Macaca mulatta: one gene and its partner. The protein of the gene in region 1 interacts with the protein of each later gene in a pairwise test. Links are inferred from orthologs where the notes say so. Each region holds a gene or a part of one and is shown on either strand. Other genes may lie near its edges. The genes, in order: MS4A12 and PLLP.

Region 1 (9,974 bases):
CTGTTATTTTGAATAATTTTTGTTCTTTTGTTTGGTATTTTGGAGGATGAATTTTGTTCTTGCTTCACTCTGCCTTATTTACCAAGAAGCTTTCTCATCTTTTTTTGCCTCCTGATATGGTTTGACTCTGTGTCCCCACCCAAATCTCATCTTGTAGCTCCCATAATTCCCACTTGTTGTGGGAGGAACCTGGTGGGAGATGATTGAATTATGAGGGCGGGTCTTTCCCATGCTATTCTTGTGATAGTGGATGGGTCTCATGAGATCCGATGGTTTTAAAAAACAGGAGTTTCCCTGCACAAGCTCTATTTTTTTTTTGCCTGCCCCTATTCATATAAGACATGATTTGCTCCTCCTTGCCTTCTGCCATGATTGTGAGGCCTCCCCAGCCGTATGGAACTCTAAGCTCGTTAAACCCCTTTTTTTTCCCCCAGTCTTTGGTATTTCTTTATCAGCAGTGTGAAAACAACTGAATATACCTTCTTATATAAGCTTTTCCTTATGCTGCAAACAGTGTTGTCCTTTGCAAGCACAAAAGTGATCATTCAAATTCCTGACCTAAAACTCTTCTACGTTTTTAACAAAGAAGGATTGTCTCAGAACTTGGTGGAAAAGGAGTGTGCCAGCAATTCAAACTATTGACACTTCAAAGAACATACTCTAGGGGACAGGCATCTGATGGGAGTGCTTAGACAACTTTCAGATTATACCAACGGTTGGAGTCAGGATTTCAGAACCCTTTAGTTGAGAAGCAGATGGCTTCATAAGCCTGCCACTCTGAGATCACGTGGAACAGAATTACTTACACAGTACTGAGTGAACTGATAAGGGAAATGTTATTGTGTTTATTTGTTCAAAATATTGTGATATTGTCTTAATGTTAACATGTTCTTGATATACAAGGAAGTCATTCTGTGTCTTTCTTAAGATATATGTATCCCACAGTAATTTAATAAACTCTGCTTTTTGTAAACTGAAAAGCAAAAGCAAAACCAACCCCAACATAAAATAAAACAAAACCTATAAAACCACTCTTCTGTGGTTTTCCATTGCTCACAGAACGAAGACCAAACTTCTTAATTGGCCACTGAGGTAGAATGACAGCTTCCAGTCCAACCTCATTTTATACCGTGTTCCTCCATTCCTTATAGATGGTAAGCATTCCTGCCCTCGGGCCACCCATTTCCTCCTAAGGTCGGAGTCCATGCTTGGCTGTATAAGGCTAATGAATGTGTGATTCTGTTTTGAGCACATTCAGAGGCATGTGCTTCATTTTGCAATTGCTTCATTCCTTGGGTTTCTCTGTAAAAATCGGATGTTCTCATCCCTGTCATTTACCTCTCACTTCATACTTTACTCTGAAGTTTAACCAAAAACACTCAATAGCTTGACTACCTTATTTATATAGAATTTCAAATGTTGGGAAAATAATTTTTGGACAATTTTAGAAACCCTTCCCCATTGTTCATGTGATTGACAGTGAGATGGGCCAATAAAGGATGTCCTTTAAGCCTCCGTCTATCTGTAGAGGTAACCCTCTCACTTTATTCTATAGTCCTAGAGATCATATGACTAGGGGTGGGGCTAGAATAGAAAAAAGATTTTCCATTAGAGCTGGTGTATGGTATTAAGAGATAAAACATAGACCCACTTTACAGGACTGAAAAGAGAGCAAGCACATGATGGATTATGGGATACTTACCACGGCCCAATAGTCTTGGTTAGGTGTCCCATTGATGCACATATCCACCACCAGCAGAATCACTCCAATGAAGGCAAAGATAGAACTAACAATGTTCATTCCCAGGCTGCCTTTCACCTAGTGGAGATGGCAGGCAAAAATCAATTATATACAGGATCACTGAAGTTAAATGAAATAAGAATCAATCAAATTTCATGGTTCTTAATTTTTGAACTTTCAAAACAATTTTTCAAGTTGAAATTATTCTGTTTTCTGCCCTTCTGGGTAATTACTATAAACATTATTCTGTATGCAGCCTAGATGTAGGGTACTTGTAAAAAGCTGTAGAAAAATGTAAATCATATAAAGCAGGCACTCATCTATTGTATTTTACTAAAAGCCTCATGCACAATAACAACTATATTTTCTTTATAAACAATGAAAAAACTTCTAATGAGCATTTTTCTGTGGCAGACACTGTGTTAAATTATTTAAATTATCTCACTTAACTCTTACAGCTTTTGTATGAGGTGGTATGATAGCATCTGATTTTATAGATGGCAAGGTATTTAGACACAACATGTTTGCTGAAAAATTTAGGAATTAATGAAAACCCTAAGTCTCTCTAGGAACTAAATATGCACCCCCAAATTTAGAAGGAGAAACTCTTCAAGCTTTTGTGGGCAAAGGTGTATGGGTGACTACAAATCTTTCCCCAGTTTCTACAATAGGATTTTAACATGCAGAAGAATAATTGTGAAAGCAGATCTGCAGCTGACTTGCTAGGGGTGGCGTAGTTGAATTCTTTAGAATGTGCTTGTACTGCAGCATGCCTTAGAGCCTCCTGATGGTCTCTGAAAGCTCTTAGAAAAATTGTCTTAGGTAAGTGTCAGTGGCTGTCTCCTCTGAGAGGATGGAATCTATGCTTGGACAATCTCAATTAGAGGGAAGGATCCTTAAAGGATGCAGAGAAAGGGTGCTTTATTTTGTTTTTGGACTACAACAGGAGTGGTTAATCAGAATTAGGCTTATTTTATTTTATTTTATTTTGATTTAATTATTTTATTCTTGTTTTGTCTGGAAGAGCATGAGCTATACACTACTGTGTTCCTCTTTCCCCATTCTTCCCTCTTGTGCTGGATTACATATAATTTTGACACCACCTCTGCTCTAGTTGACTGTAATTCATGGTAAATCACTTTCTTTTTCCTGGTTCAATAGTAGACTAGGAAATTGCAATAGGTGGGGTGCTGTGACCAACAGAACTCAAGGTCCCATCTTACTGATCATTTTTATAAACTCTTCTTACGGAACAGGCTAGATTCATTTAATGGCAGTTTAAAGAATTGTAAAACACACACCCAATCTTGAGTAAGAGTAGGAAAGACGCAAAAATGTGAAAATAAAAATACAAGACAGAGCTGAGAAGTGGCAAATTAACAGTAGAGACTTGGTAACTGATGTGGCTAGTAGGTATTTCCTGGCTCCTGGATTCTCCTTTGGACTTCCCATAATAGAGTGTGACCTGACTGAACCAGGGAGCTTTCAGGTTAAAGCTTAAACGACCCTGATCTTTACTACTTCTCACCCTTGTCAGTTCAAGAGTCAGGATGTGGAACTCTGCCATTTCTTAGTGGCAGACTGTGTGGACCACTCTCCTACCCGAGCGCTCAGACCATGAGGCAACCAATAGATTTTTTTTGGGAAAAGTGCTCTCTTTTGCATTTCCCAAATCCAGCTTTTCAATTTTCCTACCCAGTATGTTAAGCTAATCATTAAAGGGGTTCAAAAAGCAGAAACAGTCTAACTTACCAGACAGGAGGAAAGCTCCTCAGATGCTGACACAGAAAGAGAGCCAGAGATAATGAACTGTGGAAATGGACAAATTTAGTTGAGAAATGGGTTAACTGGTTGTGCTTGGGAGTTTCTCTTTATACAAAAGGTTGATCTATTTACGTTCATCTAGCTTCCTTCTCAAAATTTTCTCTTGCACTTCTAAATTTTCTGGGTAACTCTCAGGCATGTATGTTCTTGACTTCTTTTTTATTGTTTTCTCCTTAATTTCTGGCCTATGAGGAACTCGTAATGTCTAAGCATTCCTTGTTCTGAGGCTTACGCTCCATCCCTTCTCATAATCAATTGCATTTTTTTAATTAAAAAAAATTTTTTTAGAGGTTGGGCCTCACTATATTCCTCAGACTGGCCTCAATCTCTTGAACTCAAGCAATTCCCCGGCCTCAGCCTCCCAAGTAGCTGGGACTACAATCACACACCACTATGCCTGACTTACTTGCATATTTTTAATCATGTTTCCAATCACCTTTTTTTTTTTTCTCTCTCTCTCCACCCAATACATACATTTCCATCTCAAATGTAGTAGGAAACCAAAACTTTGGCTTGCTGGTTACATGATTACATTTTAAAGAATGGAATAAGCTCCTATATAAAATGGTGAACAAGTTCCCGATATTTTTATGCTCGTTCAGAGCTGTTAATTTTTCTAAATTCTCCAGCCCTCAGATGTAGGGCTTTATCAAGAAATGAATTGTGAATTGGCTGGAGATATCAATACTTTATAAACCAAGAAGGAGTGGTGTTCTAGCAATCTACTCACAGAAAGGCCACCCCAGAACGGGTATCCACCAATAACAGCAGTAGAGGCAAAACCGAATACTCCTCTATAAGAGAATGATGTTAAACACAAAATAATTCCAAAACCAAGGTGCATCAATCCAACCATGATCTGGATTACCTGAAAAAAGAAAACAACCATTTTAAAATTACTTCTTCACTTTCAGACGTGTGAAACGTTACTGTCATTGCTGCCCCTGCTTATTGATTGTCAATTTTGCTGAGATCCATGGTTGTCATTCAGGCACGCATCTGAAGCAGGAGGTGGGCCATGAAGATTCTGACATACACTAGAATAACTGGAGTGTAGGTAGCCCTTAGTGAAGCGCCTTGTTTTGAGGTATTTGGGGAGACTTATTGGGGTGGCCCAGGAAGAATTCTTCAGAAAGTACAGCTGCTTAATCATGTGTTAGTATCTCTGAAGGCCTCTAAAAGACTATTAGAAAAAAAATACTTTAACTGTGATGTCAGTAGTTGCTTTTTCAGATGGATCAGTTCTCTGCTTGGGTCATCCCAGTTACGGGTAAAGGGACTGGTGAAGATAAAACCATTTATAAGGCATGAATTATGTGCTTAGTCATGTTCTGAACACTTTACATTTATTGTTTCATGTAGTCCTCCCACAATTGGATTGAGTCCCAGAGACATAAAGACATGTGAGACCTTGTATCCAAGGTCATGCAATTCCTGAGGGGCAGATCTGGGAATTTACCGCAGCACATTGACTGCTGAGCCTGTCTGAACTATTCAGTACTGTCTTCCCCCATGCTCAGCTCTGCTCTACCTCTTCCATGAAGCCCTCTTGATTACACCAAATTAATCTTTTTTCTTTTTTTCTAAATTTCTGTTGCATCTCATGACATAAAACACACCTTGTTACTTGATTTTGTATTCATTGATATTGTTCTCTTTTAAAAAGTTGCAGGTGTGCAATCATTTTCTTACCATTCTTCTTACCAATCATATATTACTAAAAGTAAGGTATGCATCTTTTAGCTCCTTGTACCTCTTATTGAACCTTCCTTCACTGTAAATAAAGATAGATTTCTGAGGAATAACCATTTCTAGATTGGTCCAAAAGTTGACTGTAGATTTGTCATTTATTTTTCCCCATGTTTACACCTTATCTATCCAGGAAGACTGCAAATACAAAGACTGCTGTATTTATTCAATAAAAAGCTACTGAACACAAGTAAATTGAATTAAAATAAAAAAACCCAGTTTTATAAACAATGCTAACAGTTTCTTGAGACTTTGATAAAAACCGTGAACCTTTCTCCCTAAAAAATTATTCTTGCACCTCCATACACACACATACCATACTTTTGCATATAGTTTCAGAGGCATGATGGGCCTCCTTTAGCCTATCTCACTTAAAGAACTCCTGTATTAGACTTTATATTTGGTTTTTACAACTCTTCTTTAGAGCAGCAATTTAGCCATCTGGCCACAAACTTCCCATCCTCATCCTTGCTGTCACCTTGATGAGGGACAGTTAGATCTGGATTTGTACTGGCCCTCATTTCTCCTCCTACAGCCCTGGCTGTACCATTTACTGATGAAAATTGCCTATAGGACACACTTAAAAATTTGGACATACAATTTGTCTGCATTTGTGGACACAGAAGCACTTTAAGGTCTGAGTTGACTGGTACAGGTGTGCCACGTCCTGCCACCTGTGGCCCCTGCACTGTCGTGATGCCTGGGGCCTGCTGATGGTATAGAAATAACAATCTTCAGAGAGAGGAAGTAGCTTCTGCCAACTGGAGCTTTAAACAAAACTTCATAGTCTTTTAAAGTATTTTTATCACACGCCTTTTTGGTGCCAGGCAGCGTGATTCAGTGGTTCGTCATCCACTTAGTCAAAGCCAAAGCCTTCTGCTCTGCAGGCCTCACCAGCTGTGGCCTCTGCCACTCCTCTGCCCTCCTGACAACTGCTCCCTCCCTCCCTCATTCTGTTCTATTTTATTGGCCTTCTCCCTGTTTTTCAAATACATCACAGATATTTTCATCTAAAGACTTTTACACTGGTTGTTTTCACTTTCCCTGATATCTGCACGGCTCACTCCTAACTTCAGGTTTTTGCTCAAATGTCATGTTCTAAGGAAAGCCCATTCTGACCGCCTTGAAATTGCTGCCTCCTCACTGTCTGGTACTTTTTAGCCCTTTTACACTTCTTTGTTTTGTCCATATCATTCGACACCTTCTAATACACTAAGTACTTTACTTCCTTCTTATGTTTACAGTCTGATTTCCCCCACTAGGGCAAAAGTTCTGTAAAGGCAGAGATTGCACCTGCTTTGTACTCGGTGATATATTCCAAGCACCTATGTGGGGTTGGCTGTATGGGGGGTTTGTCCCATTGGCTTATTAGAAGTGGGGAATTTCCTCTATCTGGGAGGAGGAGGATCAGAAGGGCCACCTCCACAGCTTAGTAAATAGGCTGCTGCAAGAGAACTTAGGCTCATTTTTACTTCCCTAAAACATCACAACTTGAAATAGGTAGTAAGATGACTAGAAGATTTTCTGGCACATAATGAGCATTCATTTACGGAATGCTCCAGCAGAGAATTTCAAGCTATTCACAGGGAGAGACTTAATATAGTTTGGTGGAATTGTACTAGCGGGATGAATGAGGTATTTGGAAAGCACAGCGAAGGGAGTAACAATTCTACCTAGGCAGGTGGAATTTTCTTACAAATAGGGCATTTTTGTTTTTACAATGCCTACAGAAACAAGGTGGTCAGTTCAGAGTCTCCTTTGTAGAAATAAGATGACAGTTACGCTGTAGCATCTCTAAGGATATTGGCGAGAGAGGCACAACAGATGGAACGTCCCCCAATTCTTTCACACTCAGCCTTTCCCAGACTGCCCATTTGTAGTTTCCTTTTCTGGAGGCAGCCATCAATGTTCATTTTTATGTAAATTCACCTTTATGCAAATACCTGACTTGTAACCAATCTGGAGACGAGATTGAGATTGTCCAAAAAGTCCTTTGAAGAAATGAGATCAAGCTAGATGTAGTAGAGTTTCCGTCATGTCAATATTACCAAATCCTCCAGCTAGGGAGGCTCCTCTGTCTCCTGTTATATTTTTGCTTGATCTAAAATGAAATGAACTCAAGGGAAAGTCTATAGGCAGACTAAATATTTCTGTCTAAAAGGGATAGTTTCAGAATAACATTCAAAACTTTTTAGCAATTGGATGATATTCTCTTCTCCTATAACTTATAAGAAGACCTTGCAAATGTGAGTTTAAAATTCTAGTAGTAAGTAGACTTACCCCTAGTACCTTTGCTTCTTCTTTAAAGTTTATTACTGCTCTTCCCACGCTTGGATTTATCATTTGTGTATTTCCTTGACCTGGTTGACTGACAGCAGAGGTTCCTGGAGATGTGATGAAGTAGGGCTGAGCACTCTGAGCACCCTGAGCTTGGTTTTCTAAGTTGATTGAACCCGGAGGCTGTTGAGATCCAGGAGCCGTAAAGCTGCTTGGTGGGTAGTAAGGGTTGGGTGTGGTTTCATATACTCCAGCATGGCTTGTTGGCTTGGATGACACCATGATGTCCTAAGTATCACAAAACATACCAAAGTGATACGTTTATCCAGAAAAGAAACTAAAGAAAATCTTACCAAATATCAAATGTCAATTATCTATGATAATGGAGAGAGCAAGTGACAGATAATGGTCCATAACATCTGATAGAAACATGATTCTCATAAATCCCCAACCCCCAGGCCAAGGACTGGTACCCGTCGGTGGTCTGTTGGAAATCTGGCCACACTACATGAGGTAAGCAGCGGGCAAGCATTACTGCCTGTGCTCTGCCTCCTATCAGATCAGCACGGCATTGGATTCTCATAGCAGCGTGAACCCTGCTGTGAACTGCACATGCTGGGGATCTAGGTTGCATGCTCCTTATGAGACTCTAATGCCTGATGATCTGAGGTGGAACAGTTTCATCCCGGACCCATCTCTCATTAGAGAGATGCTATGCTGCTGATTGTGAAGATGGAGGAAGGCGTCCATGAATCAAGGAATGTGGGTCACCTCTAGAAGCTGGATGAAACAAGGAAACAGATTCTTCCTAGAGTCTCCAGGAAGGAACCTGACTCTACTGACACCTTGACCTTAGTCTAGTGAGCTGGTATGGCACTTCTGACCTACACAACTGTCAGATAAAATAATATATTGTTTTAGGCCACTGTGTTTGTGGTAGTTTGTTATATCAAGAAATAGAAAACTAATACAGGGGCCAAGTAATACAATACTTGTATGGCAAAGAGGGCAGTCCAAGATTGAAATTATTTGCCAGTAATTGGGAAACTAGATGGTTCACATATGCCCATTTAAGATGATTCTCCTGTTCTTTAGGAAAAATGCTCTTACTCATTTCTGTCCTTCTGAAAGCTTAGAGCATCTCAGGCCCCATGTAGCCAAGGGAAATTTTGTTGGAAATAAGCCAATACAACTGGATATAGACAACAATGACTATTAATTCTTGAAAAAAAATTATGACACTTAAAAAATTTGTCATTAGCCTTAGATTCCTTTTTTTGAGGTCTTCTCAAATAATTTTTCATGTACTTATGAGTATCAAGAAAGTTACAGTGATGAATGTCTCATTCTTGGTATGAAGTATGAATACTATGAATAACCTATTGGTACAGTGTTTCACTGGTATCTAACAGGGACACATATTCAGACCCTGTGCTCATGGAATCCAGAAATTTTAGGGTAGGAAAGACCCTTTCCATTTATCCTGTCTCATTCCCCTTCATTTACAGATGAGAAATTGAAGCTGAGTCAAGTTAAGTGACATGCTCAAGGTTACATAGAAAACGTGTGGCAGAGTTAGGACTTGAAAATGGGATTCTTGGCTGTTGGTTCAGAATCCCCCTCCACCCCCAGTCATCCATACAGCATCACTCTGGACATTTGCAGCTTGTTTTCCAGGCCAGCCTTGGTGACAGGGTATTGACTCTGCTCCTGCAACTGCCCAACAACAAAACTTCTGTCTTTGATGCCATAGAGAGGAGTTTATAAACCAGATTAACTTCTTAGTGACTAAGTAATTAAGTTAGTAAGGATTCTCTTTAGCAAGCTTTAGTCGAGGTGTGTAGAGAGCTAACCTTTATTAAAGACTTATTGTAGGCACAGTAGGGTCTGTATAGTGTCATGTTTAGGAAGATGAACTTGGGATCTAACCCCAACTTTGTGTCTTCGGCAAGTTCGTTAACCTCTCTTTGCCTCTGTTTTCTGTCTGTAAAATAGAGCTAAAAAGACTACCTTCCTTAGAGAGTCAGTTTGAGTATTAAAGAGTTATTCTGGGCAAAGTATGTAGGACTGTGCCTATTCCAACCACAGGGGTTGGCTCTGTTATCGCTATGTTAAGTGCATGAGATACATTATCTCTGTACCCTTTACAGAACCCCATGAGGTAGGTACTCTACTAATATCCCCATTTCACAATGAGAGGATTTAATCCAGAACCTGCACTCATAACCCTTACTCTCCGATGCTAGATGCAACTGAAAATGGTTGAAAACTCAATGAAAAGGGAGAAAACACCTTTCTGAAATATCTGATGACAAAGGGATTTTATTTTTTTTCCAAAATGGAAACACGTCCGGCACTTTAGGAGGCCGAGGCGGGTTGATCA
Region 2 (10,074 bases), on another chromosome or scaffold:
TAGCTGGGATTACAGGCGTGCACCACCATGTCTGGCTAATTTTTTGTATTTTTAGTAGAAACAGGGTTTCGCCATGTTGGCCAGGCTGGTCTCTAACTCCTGACCTCAGGTGATCCGCCTGCCTCAGCCTCCCAAAGTGCTGGGATTACAGGCATGAGCCACCATGCCTGGCCACATTTCTGTTGTTTTAAGTCACCAAGTTCATGGCAACTTATAGCAGCCACAGGGCACTAATACAACCCTCTAAATAGCCCTGTGTGATCTGGCCCTGGCCCATGTTGCCGATCTCACCCTTACTCACTTGGCTGTAGCCCCACCAAGGACCTTTTTCTGTTCTCAAAACTGGTCCAGCCTCAGGGCTCCTGCACTTATTAAATTCTTCCCCCAGATTTCCCAAGGCTAGCCCCTACTCATGATTTGGGTCTCTGCATAAATGTCACCTCTTCCCACAGGTCTTTCTTGACCACCTTAACCCAGAAATCACCTGTGGGTGACTCTGTGTCACATTCCCCCATTTTACTTTAGTCACAGCATTTGTCACTATCTGAAAGTATTATTCCTCCCTGGTTTATTACTTCTCATCCCCATCAGACAGTGGGATCCAACGACTGAAATCCTGTCATTTGTGGCAACACAGATGAACCTGGAGGACATCATGAGAGTAAAATAAGCCATGCATAGAAAGACAAACACCACATAGTCTCTCATATATGTGGAATGAAATAAAGAAGTTGATCTCGGCCAGGTGCAGTGGCTCACGCCTATAATCAATCCCAGCACTTTGGGAGGCCGAGGCGGGCGGTTCACCTGATTTCAGGAGTTTGAGACTAGTCTGGTGAACATGGTGAAACCCTGTCTCTACTAAAATTACAAAAAAATTAGCTGGGTGTGCTGGCGGGCGCCTGTTATCCCAGCTACTCAGAAGGCTGAGGCAAGAGAATCGCTTGAACCTGGGAGGCAGAGGTTGCAGTGAGCCGAGGTCACGCCACTGCACTCGAGCCTGGGCAACAAGAGCAAAACGCCACCTCAAATAAATAAATAAATAAATAAATAAATCGATCTCATAGTAGAGTAGAATAGTGGTTACAGGAGGCTGGGGTGTAGTGGGAGGATAGAGACAGATTGGTTAACAGGTACAAAATTACAGTTAGGGCTGGGCATGGTGGTTCACACCTGTAATTCCAGCACTTTGGAAGGTCAAGGCGGGTGGATCACTTGAGGCCAGGAGTGTGAAACCAGTCTGGGCAACATAGTGAGACCCCATCTCTACAAAAAATTTTTTACAACTTAGTTGGGACTGGGTTCGGTGGCTTATGCCTGTAATCCCACCACTTTGGGAGGCCGAGATGGGCAGATCACCAGGTCAGGAGTTTAAGACCAGCCTTGCCAACATGTTGAAACCCAGTCTCTACTACAGATACAAAAAGTTAGCCGGGCGTGGTGGCTTAAGCCTGTAATTCCAGCAAGACTCCATCTCAAAAAAAAAAAAAAATTAGCTGGGCTTGGTGGCATGCATCAGTAGTCTTAGCTACTAGGGAGGCTGAGGTGAGAAGATCGCTTGAGCCTGGGGGTTGGAGGCTGCAGTAAGCTATAATCATGCCACTGCCCTCCAGCCTGGGTGACAGAGTGAGACCTCACCTCAAAATAAATAAAAGGAAAAAGTAAAAACTACCAATATTGCACATTTCTTTTTTTTTTTTTTTTTTTTTACATGGAGTCCTGCTCTGTCACCCAGGCTCTGGAGTGCAGTGGCACGATCTCGGCTCACTGCAACCTCCCTGGGTTCAAGTGATTCTCCTGCCTCAGCCTCCCGAGTAGCTGGGACTACAGGCACCCGCCATCCTGCCTGGCTAATTTTTTTATATTTTTGTAGACGCAGGGTTTCACCATGTTGACCAGGATGGTCTCGAACTCATGACCTTTGGTGATCTCCCCGCTTTGGCTTCCCAAAGTGATGGGATTATAGGCGTGAGCCACCGCACCTGGCCCTAGTATTGTATATTTCAAAATACAGTAGCTAGAAGTGGGGATTTTGAATGTTCTCACCCCAAAGAAGCCATAAATGTATGAGGTGATGGATATGCTAAGTACCTTGATTTGATTTTTTACACAATGTACACAGGTACCAAAACATCACATGGTACTCCACATCTAGGTACAATAATAGGTTGCTGCAAAAGTAATTGCGGTTTTTGCTATTACTTTTAAATGCAAAAAAACAAAATAACTTTTCCACCAACCTAATATTACATGTCAATTAAAAACAATTTTTTAAGTGGCTCTCCTTGAAGTGTAGGTATTTGGGGAAAAAAAATGTGGGAGCCAAGAAGGTCTTGTCTAGTTCGTTTCCACAGGGCCTGGCATGTAGTAGGTGTTCAGCAAACATTGGTTGATGAATGCATGAATGACCTATCTGTGCAAACCTGTAGGCTCAAGGGGTGTGTGTGTGTGTGTGTATATGTCTAAGGATTTTAGGGTGCATGTGTGGCAATGAAACTGTAACCTCGATATGACCTCCCACCTGAGTGACCCCTCCTCCCTCATGCTGTCAGGAACTTTCTACGGAATATTTCATTTACTCTCTACAACGCTCTGTGAGGTTAAGTTTCCTTCAAATCTATATTACAGACGAGGAAACTGAGGCTCCGCGATCATCTAGGTTATATAAAATATGTTCAGAAGTGAAAACTGCATTAATAGGCAGAAAAGGACCTCCCCCTTCTCCTGCGCACCCACCCCTGGGAGCGGGGTCTCCTGGGACACTCTTCTATAAACTACAGAAAGGCGGCCGGGCGCGGTGGCTCACGCCTGTAAACCCAGCACTTTGGGAGGCCGAGGTAGGCGGATCATGAGGTCAGAAATTCGAGAACAGCCTGGCCAATATGGTGAAACCCTGTCTCTACTAAAAATACAAAAAAAAAAAAAAAAAAAAAAAAAAATTAGCCAAGCGTGGTGGCGCGCGCCTGTAGTCCCAGCTACTCGGGAGGCTAAGGCAGGAGAATCACTTGAACCTGGGAAGTGGAGGTTGCAGTGAGCCGTGATTGCGCCACTGCACTCTAGCCTGTGCGACAGAGTGAGACTCTGTCTCAAAAGAAAAAAAAAAAAAATACAGGGTCTCACTGTGTTACCCAGGCTGGTCTCGAACTCTTGGCCTGAAGTTATCCTTTCACCTTAGCCTCCCAAAGTGCTCGGATCAGAGGCAGGAGCCACTGCATCCGGCCCCCCCGGGACTCTCCAAGAGTCGCTGCGCAGGGCCTAGGCCGAGGGTGCACAGCGCGCAGGAAGCGCCTGGGAGAGCGGTGCCCCCCGCGAGCCATCACCAGTTTATCCCTAGGCGCCGAAGCCACCACGGCTTGGGCGAGTGCCAGGAAATTCCCAGCAGGCGGTTTGCCCCGGGCGAGGCCGGCGAAGCGGTCTGGGTTGGTGCTGGCGGAGCAGATTCACGGACCCGGGGTTGTTTACTGGTCCCGGGAGTGGACGCGGCTGCCCACGAACCTGTCGCGGCTGGAGCGGCGGCGGCGAGCAAAGGGTTAAGGGGGCGGCCCTGGTGGCGGGGGCGGGGCTGGGATCTCGGCTGCACCTGGCGCCCCAGGCTCCCAGCCCCGACGCCTCCTGCAGCTCCGGGAGCAGCACCGGGATCGGGAGCCTTGGGGAAGAGCGGCGCGGGAGCCGGCACCCACCGCTGGAGGGGCGGCGACGGCGGCCGGAGCGACCTCGGGAGGCAAGCGGAGCCGCCATGGCCGAGTTCCCGTCGAAAGTGAGCACGCGGACCAGCAGTCCTGCGCAGAGCGCCGGGGCCTCGGTGTCGGCGCTGCGCCCGGACCTGGGCTTCGTGCGCTCCAGCCTCGGGGCGCTCATGCTGCTGCAGCTGGTGAGAGCGCGCGCGGGCCCACGGGTCTGGCCGGGGGCTCCTGGTCTGGCCGGAATGGGTGAGGGACTCCGGCGCTGCGTTCATTCTTCGCGAACCTTGCGCTCCCCACCCGGGCTCACAAGCTCACCGAAGCGCTGCGCGTACCCCTAGGACGCTTCCCGCACGGACGTCCTCAAGATGGCCCTGCAACCCTCTCACCACGAGACTCCCCCGTGGCCGTCCCTGCGAGTGACACTACAGAGTAGGGCCGTCCCTACTCTGTGCACCGTGTACAGAGTGCCCACTGCCCGTGCCCCATCGTGCCCCCTCCAAGGTGGTTACCAGCGGCCACAGAGAAGCCCCCACTGGAGCCACAGTCACTGCGCACAATCCCCCAACCCTTCCCACCCCTCCCTTCCCTCCTTTCTCTTTTTCACCCCTCTTTCTGCCCCGACAGTGCCCCCAGCCCTCCAGGGAACCCAGTCTGAGGCAAAGTCCACTCTCTAACCACCTTCTGCTCCCAGCGGCTCCGCGTGGCCGCACCCCAGAACATTCCTCATCTAATCTAGAGGGCACATCCGGCCCCCCAACACGCACACTCAGGCACTAAACTGTGGGCGCCCGCGCAGGAGCCGGGCTCTTCTAGCTTTCTCTGGGTGACGCGCCAGGTTTCAGCTGGTTTGGCTAGCCCCACGGGGCCTAGATATCGCACCCTGCGCCGGAGGGAGGGGTTTGTGGGTAGCCAGGGGCAAGACTTCTACTCTCTCCCAGAGCCCTGTACAGACCCCAACTGAGGCGGACCCATGGGAACATCCTCCACTCCCAGCCACAGGCCCGGATGTTAGCTGCTGCTTCTGCCACCCTTTCGTGAGGGTCTGGAAGCTGGGTGGGTACCCTGGGTGGGTGAGGGCCTGATACATTTTCAGAGGACTCGGGTGGATTTGGAGTTGGGCCGGGACCTATTTTCCTTTGCAATCCAGCAAGTGGACATTTCCCACTGTCTCCTACTGCTGGGTGCTAGCAGGGCTGCCAGGCCCGAGCTGGAGGGCAGGGTGGTCGCTTTGGTGCCAGACGCTGGGCTGAGGTCCAGTCTCCCTCCGCTGACCTCTCCAGGTGCGGGCCCACCTCCACCTGGGTCAGTGCTATCTCATTTCAGGATTTCTCAGGTCTCTGTGGGCCCCCTCCGCAGCCTCTTAATCATCCTGGCGGGTTTGTTTAAAATTTAGATTATTGGACTCCACCCCCGGAAAAAATGTGCAATTGGAATTTGAATCTCAGGAAGTATAGCCAGAAATCTACATTTTTAACACTTCTCCCAGAGTTTTGTTTGTTTCTCTTTTGTTGGGGGGGGGGAGAAGATTCTATCTTCTGAGGGAAGAGGTCTAGTTCCTGGAATGATTTAATTCTGCAGATGGGGAGAGCCACTGACCCCGCCACTGCTGGAGTGCTGGGCTCTGAGATGGTGGTGAGGGGCACAGCCATGAGCAGCTGCCAGGCTGCCCAGGGGAGAGCCAGGTGGGTGTGAGAAGTGGTGCAAAAGGGCAGAGGAGGAGGAGAGCAATTCCACGACCAGGAAGGCTTCTTGGAGGAGGTGTTTTTTGAGCAGAGACTTCACTGAAATCTGAGGCAGAGGCAGGGAAAGGGTGTTCCAAGGGCAGGGAACAGTGTGAGCGAAGATGTAGTGATGAGAAAGTTGAATTAATTTGCAGGGAGTAACCAACAGGTTGGTGGTGCTGGAGTTGAAGCACTTGTTTCTGATGTGGACAGAAGCCAAGGGCCTTGTGTAATCTCTGCAAGCCACAGGGTCTAGGGTCTGTTGGTGACCTTAAGAGGTTTTGGAACAGAAGAGGGATCTTGCTGGGTGGAGGATGATGACCAGCAAGATCCCTGTGAGGGATCCCTCAGCATGCCTGGTGAGGGGGATCCTGAGGCTGGCCCCTGACGGACAGGAGGATTGCTTGTGGCCAGAAGTTCAAGACCAGCCTGGGCAACATATTGAGACCCTGTCTTTACAAAAAAAGGAAAAAAAAAAAAAAAATAGCCAGGCATGGTGGCATGTACCTGTGGTCTCAGCTACTTGGGAGGCTTGTGCCTGGGAGTTCGAGGCTACCGTGACTTTGATTGCACCACTGCACTCCAGCCTAGGTGGATGAGACTTTGTCTCAAAAAAAAAGAAAAGAAAGAAAGAGACTAACAATAGGGAGAATGGAAGACATTGGAGTAAGAGGAGGATGTTGCTGTGGGCTGCAAGGGTCTTGGTAGCTTCTTCTAGAGAAGGCTTGTTTTCCTGATTGGGGGGTGGGGGCGCATCCCTTGTGGGCTCAGCAATCCAGCCCTGAGCATCTGGGTCCCATTACATAAATGTAGACATTGAGGTCTAGGTAGAAGGACTCACCAGGAGTCCTGTAATAGAGCTTGGCACTTGGGTCTCTTGACTCTCAGGGACTGGGTGTGAGGGGAAGTGGGCTCCTTTTGCTCCCTACCTGCAGTGCCTTTGGGAGGATGAGGGTCTCCCATTAGAGTTCTGAAAATGACCTGCACATTTTAGTGCCTTAGAAATCTGCTTGTTGGGGCCAGGTGTGGTGGCTCACGCCTGTAATCCCAGCACTTTGGGAGGCCGAGGCGGGCGGATCACAATGCAGGAGATCGAAACCATCCTGGCTAACACGGTGAAACCCCATCTCTACTAAAAATACAAAAAATTAGCCGGGTGTGGTGGCGGGCACTTGTAGTCCCAGCTACTGGGGAGGCTGAGGCAGGAGAATGGTGTGAACCCGGGAGGTGGAGCTTGCAGTGAGCTGAGATCATGCTACTGCACTCCAGCCTGGGCGACAGAGTGAGACTGTCTCAATAAAAAAGGAGAAATCTGCTTGTTGGAGAAGCTGCATCCTGAGCTGTTTCTCTGGCAACAGATAGTTCTACTGGGTCTGAAATGGGGTATGTGGGCGTTCATCCAACAGGCACCGCCATCTGCTGGGAAGCCATCGTAGCTCCCATCTATCAGGCCAGCACTAGGCTCAGGCCCTTTGCCAAGGGCTTTAGATCCTCTTAGTCGGCCCCATTTTACAGGTGAGGAAACTAAGGCTCAGAGGTCAGTTCTTTGCCCAAGATCTCACAGCCCTCCTCACAGGAGTGATTTTTCTGACTTTTCTGGCCCATGGTCTTAATGACCACATGTGGCTTTGCTGCTACCTTCCCAGGGTTTGTCATAGAGGGAGTGGTGGGGACCCCGGGCCCAGTGCCCACTTTCCAGGAGCTCTTGGTCAGTGAGAGAGGTGCCCAGAGGATGTGCTTCTCCCAGAGGGATCGGAGAAGGCTGCATGGAGCAGGAAATAAATGAGAAGATGAAAGCTAATTCCCCATCAGACCCCTCTGTTTCCCAGGATTTGATGAATGTTCCTGGTGTGCTGGGAGGAAGGGGAAGTGGGTAGAAAAGCCTCCAGCTCCTGGAGAAGGAGATACACTTTTCATTCAGCATCAGAATGTGTCCTGAAGAACCAGCCTCAGTATTCTTCACAGATGTCTGGTGGTGGTCATTGATTTATCACTATCCTTATTCCTTGTAGATTCAGAAAGAACACCAAATGGAATATGATATTAAATCACATAAGACAGAAGAGTTAAAGCAATGTGTCTTTAAAAGCTGGTAGTGTGGAGGGGAGAATTGACTTGCAGCAAGTTTGAGGCTGTTGATTCTTTGTTGAACTTCCTAGCAGCCTAGGCAAAAAGGGAAACGAAGAATCTATGCAGATAGCCTCTAAAAAAGGAGGCAGGTCTTTGTTTTTTTTAATTTATTTTTTCTGACCAGTGGATTCATGTCACAAGGCATGCAAGTTTGATTTACAGACAACTCTTTTGGTTAAAAAAAAAAAAGGCCTCAGTGCTATACATTTTTGTGTGACTCAGGTCACACAATGCAGAAGGCGTGGTTATTTGTTTAAGGGGAGCTCCCAAAGTCTTTTTTTTTTTTTTTTTTTTTTTTTTTTTGAGGCGGAGTCTTCACTCTGTCGCACAGGCTGGAGTGCAGTGGCACCATCTCAGCTCACTGCAAGCTCCGCCTCCCAGGTTCGCGCCATTCTCCTGCCTCAGCCTCCCGAGTAGCTGGGACTACAAGCGCCCGCTACCGCGCCCGGCTAATTTTTTGTATTTTAGTAGAGACGGGGTTTCACCGTGTTAGCCAGGATGGTCTCGATCTCCTGACCTCGTGATCCGCCCGCCTCGGCCTCCCAAAGTGCAGGGATTACAGGCGTGAGCCACCGCGCCCGGCCCCAAAGCCTTTTTACAATAAGTATAAAGTAGTGCTATTAGGTGCCCATCTCTTATTTTTTCAAGCCTCCCCAAGCCGTGGGGAGAAGGATGATCTTATCTGGATTTATTAATAAGTAAATAGGCTCAGAGAGGGTGAGGAACTTGTCCAAGGTCACACAGGATAGAGTGACAGCTTGGCTTTGCACTTTGATCTGGAAATCCAAAACCTGACTCTAGCTATGCTTCCTCATCTTGTTTATTTTGGGGGTATGAAGTTCTAGAGTGCTTTGGAGGGGTAAAAGGGGGACTTCAGGAAGGGAGACTCATCAGGGGCCAAGGCCATCAGAGACGGCTTCCTGCCATAGGAAGGGAGAAGGAGGATCAGGACAGACCAGAGCTTGTACAGAGACCTGTCAGTCAGTAGGCGCCCTTGAGGCCCAGGACGTGGAAGCTGTGTGAATGCCCTATGGCAGTAAGGCCATTTGGTTTGGTACCTTCTGTCCTTCCATTTTGCCCCACCTCCTGGGATTGGGGGTGGCCACACAATTCCCACTTAGGTGAATAACAGATCAAAACTTCACCTAGCTGGGCAGGTGGCAGGGTGGCACATGCCTGTAGTTCCAGTTACTTGGGAGGCTGAGGCAGGAAGATTGCTTGAGCCTCGGAGTTTGAGGCTGCAGTAAGACTTGATCACGTCACTGCACTCTAGCCTGGGTGACAGAGTAAGACCCCTACTTTTTTTTTTCCTCAAGACAAGGTCTTGCTCTGTCACCCAGGCTGGAGTGTAGTAGTGTGATCACAGCTCACTGCAACCTCAACCTCCCAGCCTCAGGCGATCCTGCCACCTCAGTCCTCCTGAGTATCTGGGACTACAGGTACATGCCACAATGCTTGGCTAAGTTTTTATATTTTTTGTAAATACGGGATTTCATCATGGTGCCCAGACTGATCTATAACTCCTGGGCTCCAGCAATCCATCTGCCTTGGCCTCCCAAAGTGCTCACAGGTGTGAGCCACTGCACCCAGCTCTCTACTCTTAACAACAACAAAAAACAGAAGAGAAGGCTGAGGCAGGAGAATCGCTTGAACTCGGGAGGCAGAGCCCTTGCAGTGAGCCGAGATCACATCACTGCACTCCAGGCTGGGTGACAGAGCAAGACCTTGTCTCAAACAAAAAAATAAAAATAAAGAAAAAGAAATTAGGTAAATAAAGGTATGAAAAAAATGGACACAGCTTGCCGTGCGCTCATACAGAATATCCCTAGGTGTATTGCCGTGGGGGAAAAGCATGGCTTGGCGCATGCACAGAGAGCACCCATCTGTGGTTAAGTGAGGATATGGGTGTTATGTAGAAATATGCATCCACTCACCCTGGAATGAGACACACGGCATGTGGTTGCCTGGGGTGAGGGCAGCTGTGGGGCGTGGTCAGTCAGGGATGAGAGAGATTGCATTTTCATGATTACCCTTTCTACCATTGGAGTGCTTTGTATCATGTCTCTGTAATTTTTTTCAAAGAATAAAACAATTCCATCTCCCTAGATCTCCCTGATCTTCCATCTCCCTAGATCTCCCTAGATCTCCATGATCTATGGGGTGGCATGGAGAGTGTTGATGGGAACACAGGCCTGGATGCTGAGAGCCTTGGGTTCAACGGACTCCGTTCCTTTCTGGCTGCGCGATCGTGGGGGAATTTCCGAATTTCCCTGAGCCTCACTTCCTTGTCTGTCAGATGGTGGTGGCAGGATCTAGATCATGCCTGCGAAGAGCTAGCCTAGCACTGTATGTGGGAATGAAGGACAGTTTGGATTCACAGGGTTACAGGATCCGTGGGTTCTTATGCAAGCATAAGAGGTCCCTTTGCAGCATCTCCAACATGAACTTGCATGCTTCCAGAGGCAGAGAGCTCAGTTCTTCTTAAGGCTCCCTGCTCCATCCTTGGGCACTTGAGAGTGTTGGAAAGTTCTTCCTTATGG

Evidence for each region.
Region 2: the proteins of MS4A12 (region 1) and PLLP interact in binary tests that used the Homo sapiens proteins (3 or more experiments, as listed by UniProt). The two-hybrid records come from large-scale screens. The link is inferred for Macaca mulatta from reciprocal best matches to the Homo sapiens genes MS4A12 and PLLP.

The regions. Positions count from the first base shown.
Region 1 is NC_133419.1:13,526,918-13,536,891, forward strand, and holds part of MS4A12 (membrane-spanning 4-domains subfamily A member 12), read right to left. Parts: intron 7,880-9,974; 5' UTR 7,874-7,879; coding exon 7,595-7,873; intron 4,434-7,594; coding exon 4,296-4,433; intron 3,551-4,295; coding exon 3,494-3,550; intron 1,820-3,493; coding exon 1,703-1,819; intron 1-1,702. UniProt on the Homo sapiens protein: May be involved in signal transduction as a component of a multimeric receptor complex.
Region 2 is NC_133425.1:52,887,001-52,897,074, reverse strand, and holds the start of PLLP (plasmolipin), read left to right. Parts: upstream 1-3,604; 5' UTR 3,605-3,736; coding exon 3,737-3,871; intron 3,872-10,074. UniProt on the Homo sapiens protein: Main component of the myelin sheath that plays an important role in myelin membrane biogenesis and myelination. Plays an essential function in apical endocytosis. Regulates epithelial development through the regulation of apical endocytosis.